2 linked regions of the Schizosaccharomyces pombe genome follow. Each later gene encodes a partner of the first gene's protein in a complex. Each region holds a gene or a part of one and is shown on either strand. Other genes may lie near its edges.

Region 1 (3,965 bases):
TTCACTGGATGACGGGGGTATTGTAAGCTTATTCACTTTCTTGACAAAATAATGGTGTCTGAGGTACGTTTACTGTACATATACTGTATTTTATTATTTATTCGTTCGTATGTGGGAAAGAGAAATATTATGTTTTACAGACACGGTGGGGAGTTAGGTGAAGAAAGAAAATGATGCGAGTACGGGAAAATTTGTATGAAGGTTGAAAGGTATGGTAGTAGACAGGATACATAAAGTCACAATATTTCATGTTTTAAATTTTATTTCAATTTATTAATAACCAAAATATTACAGACATGGATTTCGTAATAGCAATTTTTTCTGCAAGCCCCTTAAAACATCATTACAAGTTTCCTGACTTTGAGTAACTTTACCAAACCAAAATATAACAATATGCGTGATCTACATTATGTTATACTCGCTACCTTATTTCGGCGATCTCACGACCAAAAGACGCAAAATTTAATATCTCTTTATTTTCTTTCTTAAAAAAAATAAAGAGATATTGTAGCAATGCGACCACTTACGGACTGATATGATATAGGATTTTTCATACAAGACTCGCAAATGGATGAGTATATAAATACAAATTATGTTAAATCATTGCTTCTAACAACCCAAACTAATCGAACCGTTGGTGAATGATGCATTTAAATTGCTATGAGGACCTGCTTGAAACTAAGTTTCGAGGCGCTGATAACAAATATCTATCAACTTTAGGTATAAAAATGTTGAAGTACGAAAACTTCTTAGGTATTATTCAGATTTAACTGCTAAAGAATAATTTTTGCAAATCTTTATGGATATCAGCAAAGGTTTCGAATTCAGAGAAAGAAATTTTCTCCCTTTCACAATATTTAATTAAATCACGTCCTTTCTTGGCAAACAAGTGTTCTGTTTCCTTCGCAGCACTCAAATCGGAAACACCATCTCCGCAATAGACCATGTGAGGACGTTTACTTTCTGGCAATTGAGCATACGGACGGATAGTAAGGCTTTTGTCGTGTCCAAAATGACTGTCATCATGATACACAATGTTCCATTGACCATCAGGATGCACATTGATGTCATTAGAAACAATTTCAATACTACTTGCTTCTTCTTTGCCAAGGTATTGCTCAAAAAGTGCACGAATAAAAGGCTCCATACCACTTGAAAGGATGATTACACGAATGTCTTGAGACTTACACCATTCATAGAATGGTTTAAATGATGGATCAATGGCGACATTCTTCTTGAGAACCTCCAAAGCTTCATCATAGCTTAAATGCACTGAATCCAACATCTTCGCGAAAGCATCACTATGAATTGTTAAGAGTTGATTTACGCGTCAAACGCTTACCGAAAAGAAATGGAACCGTCAAGAACTTGTTGATTTAGATTCACACGGTTGGCGTTGCCCATTCCAAAGTTGTCTAAAACATAGTTAGTAAACCGTCGCCGTCGAGTGTTGCAGTAATAAAGCATTCAAGGTGGGCAGGGAAATTTTTGACCCAATGTTATAAAATCATAGATTTCTCTTACAGATTTTCGTAAATCTTCAATAAATATTCAGTTAAGCTTAATTGTAAGAACATTTTCTAACTACCTTTATACATCTTTTTATATCTGTAACAATCTTCCTATTCCCAACCTTACCAGTTAAGTAGTCATTGGAATCCTGGAGTGTAATAGTTCCTAGACCCCAAAAGTTAGTTGTCTGTTTTTATTGAAATTATTTTTTCATACCGTCAAAGTCACTGAATACGTATAACTGCTTTTTCTGAGCCATAGTCCAAATCTTTTTGAATTGCTGAAATTGCTTGCTTTGTACAGCTATCCAACTCTAGGATTTAAAGTAACGAAACTTACCAGCACTGATATAAAGTTTGTTGTTTATTCCGTGATTAGCAAGCAGTCGTTTGTTCGAGTCATGATAAATGTCATATTTTATCTTTTATATGCAAAAAAATGAAATTCTTAAAGTAATTTACAGTCTTCTTTATTTTAAAGGGCTGCAGATTAAAAATCGAAATTAGTGTAGAGGTTGAATTAACTTAAAGCATATATTTATCAAAGAAAAGAAATGATATTCTATATTTCTGCAAGGGGTAAACGATATCCTCAGTACGTTTTACCATAAATCCTAAGAAAAGTGGCCCAAGCCTTGTAAAGTGAAGTGTAATTTTTTTTTTTTTTGTTTTTTCTTTTTAAATTTCAAATGCTTTTTACATCTACAACATTCTCTCAAGCGTGAGTTTCGCTTATCCTAATGTTAGCTACGCAGTTTCGTATTCGTTTTAATGATACGTAGAACTGCGGTGAGTTTTCCTTGTGACCTATAATATCGCAATACACAGATAATATAAGTAGCAACTGAGTGTAGGTATTGTATTAACAAGGTTATAATGTTACCTATCACTGGTATAGCTTGTAACTGAACTGAGGAACGAGGTTTAGCAGTAGCTCTATTTATAGTATTCAGATGATATAAATATTAATAGATTATCATTAAGATCAGTCTCAATATCGTATCATACATAGTACGATATTTAATTAGGACATGTGACATATAGTGATACGCAACGTAAGTATTATAGCGTATTATAGTATTGCTGATACCTAACTATAAATAGCATATTCTAAGCTGTTTATGAATATTTCCGTAAACCAGCTTTATGGCTGGTGCAGCAGTACATTATGTTTAACTCACTATATGAAGACATGAAAGGATATAACAGTAATGTATAAGTATTAAGAAAGTATGTTGCAACGACTTTCTCAGTCTATTAAGGGATTTGCTGCTCGCTTTCCCAAAATCTATAATAAAGGAAATGGATCAGTTCAACAGACTATACTCCAAGCGAGTCAACGCTTGAATGAATTAACTGGTTATTCCTCCATTGAGGCATTAAAGAACGCGGTTGTAAAGCAGGAGACAAAGCTCCGTGATTTTAGATTATCTGCAGCTGAAGCAAGAAAGCGTTATATTGAAGCGGTTGAAAAAAGATCGTCAAGTCAACGTGAAGTCAACGAATTGTTACAACGACGTAGTAGCTGGTCTACTATTGATTTAGAAAGATTTACTAAACTATACCGTGATGATTATTCAAACAAAGAAGAAGAAATTAAGGCTCAAGAAGATGTGGATGTAGCGGAAAGGCGGGTAGAGGAAGCTCAAAATGGATTGGTGCGTTCGATTTTATCGAGATACCACGAAGAACAAGTTTGGAGTGATAAAATCCGGCAAGCAAGTACCTGGGGTACATGGGGATTAATGGGAATTAACGTTGTTCTTTTTGTGGTCGTTCAACTAATATTGGAACCAAGGAAAAGGAAACGGTTGGTTCGTGAAGCTGTGGATCACATTGACAAGGAACGAGAACTTGAAATAAATGATGAACTGAAAAAGATTTCCGAGAAACTTGATAAAAAAGGTGAAGCTGTCGGCCAAGCATTAGAGCTTACTTCTCCGAAAATTGACAATAAAAACCTTCCCAAAAATTCTGCGTCCTTAATTCTTCCTCCTATTAATTACGATACGTTTCACTCTTTTTTGGATTCGCTAAAATATTTCCTATCTCGCTTTTTGTCTACAGACTACCGCATTCAATTGACTTATCGTCAACTGTCTATTCTGGCGACCAAATTTACGGTAGGCGGTGGAGTTATTATTTACACCTTTATTCACTTGTTTGGTTTAGCATTCAAGCGTTGAATTATTTACATTAACAATCGTTAATTACAAGATTTTATGGTAAAGGTTTTATAGATTACAAGTTTTAAAAAGAGCAGATATTTGCGTTATGAGCAAAGCAGATGTATATCTTCATTTATTCAAACTAAGAAACCTTATCAGAGAATCCAAGTGTAACTACCTAATTCCATTTTGCCAAAAAAAATATTAATGAAATATTCTTAATCATAATTTTGACTTGAGTAACTTATTTCGTACAATAAATAATGCATTACTTCCATTCTTTCTT
Region 2 (3,600 bases), 240 kb from region 1:
TCCTAAATTACCTCCAAAGCACCCGTCCCGTCAGCCAACTGTTCGGGCAACTCCTTCGACTGGTAAACAAATCGAACCACCAAACGACGAGCCTTCTATAGGAAATGAACTTCTTCCCCTTTTTGAAAGTTTGCGCTTTGAAAATAGAAAAACCACTTCCAAGCCAAAAGCCAAGAAAACTCTTGTTACTTCCATTCCGACTAAACCGCACCAAGCTTCTGTTGAAAAAGTTTACGATCTTAACTCAAAAATCAACCTCAAAAACATTCCGGAGCAAAGCATTTCTCGTCTTTCCACTTTGAAGTGGAATGAAGGTACAACTATAAAAGATGTATTGAAACAAACAGAATTTTCGTTTGATGGAGCTATCATAAGCAGTGTGGAAAACCTTGCTGAAGAAGAAATCGAATTGCAAAACATTAAGAGCCAACTTCAAGATTGTGCTTTAGGTTGTGAGTCTATCAATTCAACCATCAACTTATTTTCCCTAGAGTTGTCTACTGCATTAAATGGCGTCATTAATATAGAGCAACAACCAAGCCGTAGATGATACAAATGCTTCACGACAAATATCGAAAGATTAAAATACTTATTTATTTGAACTAAACGGAATCCAGATGATGAGAGTTATCTAATAGACGCTTTTGAGGTAGAGGAATAAGTATATTTTCTTTAAGTAAAAGGTTAGATATCTGCTCTTCTCCGAGATATGGCGTCCATCTTAGAAGTTTTGGATTTACTCTTTGAGGGTGTTTGATATTCCAAGCTTTATAAACATTCTCAAGTTCATCCCGTTTCAGTTGTAATACATATTTCTTTTTGAGCGGATCATACTTAAATACAGATAACGATTCCAATGTGGATATAACATCGTCGCATACCATAGATGTTGATTTGGCGATAGCATTTATGCTAATCGGTGTTGTGATTTCCAATAGAGCTTTGGCTACTCTCATTTTCCAATAGCTTCGGTACGTAACGAGGCCTAAATCTGAAAGTGGCTTTTCAGGTGATCCAAGCTTACCTTCTACCTGTGTAAGTAAATAACTAAAATCAATCAAAAAGACACCATATCCTCGGCGTTGGTAAATGGGTAATGTTAATATACAGGAAACGTTATAATCAGAAGCCGAGCGTTTCTCTTTACTGAAATATCCAATAACTTTGCATTCTTGGCCATCAAATTCAGTCAATACATAGAAAAGAAACGGTTCAACGTCATAGTACAGCATTTTTGAATGAAGAAACATCTTTGCTAGAAGACATAAATTTTGACAATATATCTAAGGAAAAACATCAATAAGTATAAAATGCATAAAAAATTACTTACCGGTTGCCGTTGACCATCAACTTCAAAAATTGATATATTCTTATCCCGATATATTTCATCTCCTGGTGGATAACTCCATGAGCATTTCATCTGATTATGTTAGTCCGTAAATTCAATTTGGATAGATTATGATCTTTTAATGTACACCTCGTTTAAACTCAAGCAATAGCGAATAACATTATGATCTTACTTGAAAAGTTGTTTACCTTGTGCCTTTGTAGTACATGATCACTGTTCATATACTTTAAACAAGATTCGCATATATATAAATTTTTTGCACAGCTATACTCCTCTGGATACGGTGATGTATACCATGGTTTTATCCGGTAAGTACCAAAATAGAGGTATCGAATGGAGGTTGGTTGTGGTGGAGGCGTTCGCAACTGTGTAGATAAAATAGGATCGGAAAATGAATAAGCCACATCCTTTGTCCTATCTGCTACTGTCTTTGCTTTTTCAAACAGCCTCACATCGTCTTGGTTGAGTCTCGTAATCGATGTGTCAGCTTGCCCTTTAGTTAATAGACCCAAAAAAGTACTTTCCGAATTTAACTCTAATAAATGTTTCTTATAAAATGGATATCTGGAGGAGTTTGTATCAAACTTTATTATTAACAAAGTCTTTGAACTGGCTGTGGATTTCAAAATAGTCGCCGGCATTATACATAAAAAAAAAAGATTGTTTATATTTACAGATCGTTCATAGTTTTCCTAATGGCCCCATTTAATCCTTTGGTCAATATAATTGAGTTGGTGGTAGTGCCCTCATTCTCTTCTTAGTTCTTGCTTTACTTCCACCTCCATCCGATCTCTGCAAAGATAACCCTTTCACTCTTGTTAAATAAAAAACTACTCATATTTTTTACTTTTGTATTCTGAAACAGTAACCATTCATAACTTCACTGTTAGCTTTTTGATTGAATGCCATTACAAACGTTGCGTATAAATACTACAAAGTCACCTTGGGTGATTCAACGATAAGTTTTACATTAGTAGTTTTAATGCCACTTTAATTATTCTCTAATTTCGACTTTATTTTCAAGTAATGTAATGATGATAAATGCAGAAATTTTTTAAATATGAACACGTAGAAAAGTAAAAAAAATATCATGTAAAGGGTGAGTACACTAAATTAAGTGTAAGAATGCAAAGGAAGCAGCATCAGAACTATATGAAATTGTTACCATAATTTTCTAATTTTAAAAAAGCAGAAGCAAAGGACAAGCTAATTCTATTCAGTAGCAAAACTGGAAAATCCTCTGAAACACTCTTGTTGTTGTCGTGTGAGAACAGTATTGACAGGTGTCAAAGTTGGACATGCACCTAATCGATCGTTAGTAATTAACCATATTTTAACAATTGTCATACTTGTAAATTCTTCATCAAAATTATTGAGGTCTCGGGGATCGTTGATAAGCGGTTTATATGATGGTTCATAAAGTTTGTTATACAAGTCATCCCAGACAATACTAGCAAAGAAAGGATGAGCCATAACCTCGTTTGCGTCTTTTGGTCCACTACCAAGTCGTTGATTTGGATCTCTTGTTAAAAGCTATTTTTTGAATTAGTTAACATATTTAGAAATTTGCATACCCCTCTCAATAACGAAACCGCATCCGCTGGCATATTAATCGGAAACAACGGTTCATCGCTTAAAATCGCATCGAATATTTCCTCTTCATCTTCACCTTTGAAAGGGGATTGACCCAGTAACATTTGATACATCAAAACGCCAAAAGCCCACCAATCAACATCCTTGGAATATTGCTGTTCTAATAAAATCTATTTTCGTTAGATAAAATAAACCAAAACAAGTTCCGCCTTACTTCTGGAGCCATGAATTCGGGGGTACCACAAAAGGTGGAAGTTGTATTGCCAAGCAACATATTTTCTTTGCAGAGTCCATAATCAGCAATTCGTATATGACCATCAGGACAAAGTAGAATATTATCCAATTTCAAATCACGGTAAGCAATTCCATTCTCATGAAAATACTTCAATGCTAAACAAACCTCAGCACCATAAAATCTATGGGGTTAATAAAAAATAAAAATAAAAATAAAAATAAAGATTGAAGTACTACCTTGCACGTTTCACGCTAAACTGTTGACGTTGAATATGAACCATAAGGTCACCACCAAGAATATATTCCATAACGAAGTAAACCCTGGTACTAGTTTGAAAGCTTGCAAAAAGATTCAGCAAGAACGGATGTTTTTCTTTATTCGCGACTTCGAAAACATGCTTTTCAGTTTTTAAACTCTCTAGTTC

Evidence for each region. Proteins that work in one complex are often made in the same cells at the same time.
Region 2: ptf1 (region 1) and mst2 share a complex: the UniProt entries of both Schizosaccharomyces pombe proteins name them as parts of the mst2 complex.

Annotation. Positions count from the first base shown.
Region 1 is NC_003424.3:2,603,991-2,607,955, reverse strand, and holds ptf1 (phosphoric monoester hydrolase), read right to left. Parts: upstream 1,805-3,965; 5' UTR 1,772-1,804; coding exon 1,729-1,771; exon of another isoform or gene 1,678-1,728; coding exon 1,639-1,677; intron 1,583-1,638; exon of another isoform or gene 1,416-1,582; coding exon 1,343-1,415; exon of another isoform or gene 1,302-1,342; coding exon 767-1,301; 3' UTR 542-766; downstream 1-541. Other genes in the region: protein She9, read left to right, coding at 2,744-3,697. UniProt on the Schizosaccharomyces pombe protein: Component of the mst2 complex which is a highly specific H3 lysine 14 (H3K14) acetyltransferase that functions together with gcn5 to regulate global levels of H3K14 acetylation (H3K14ac), critical for DNA damage checkpoint activation.
Region 2 is NC_003424.3:2,364,845-2,368,444, forward strand, and holds the start of mst2 (histone acetyltransferase Mst2), read right to left. Parts: upstream 2,091-3,600; 5' UTR 1,990-2,090; coding exon 1,537-1,989; exon of another isoform or gene 1,421-1,536; coding exon 1,331-1,420; exon of another isoform or gene 1,284-1,330; coding exon 603-1,283; 3' UTR 551-602; coding exon of another isoform or gene 1-550. Other genes in the region: exocyst complex subunit Sec3, read left to right, coding at 1-550; protein kinase C (PKC)-like Pck1, read right to left, coding at 2,561-2,652, 2,698-2,881, 2,923-3,111, 3,156-3,357, 3,413-3,600. UniProt on the Schizosaccharomyces pombe protein: Component of the mst2 complex which is a highly specific H3 lysine 14 (H3K14) acetyltransferase that functions together with gcn5 to regulate global levels of H3K14 acetylation (H3K14ac), critical for DNA damage checkpoint activation.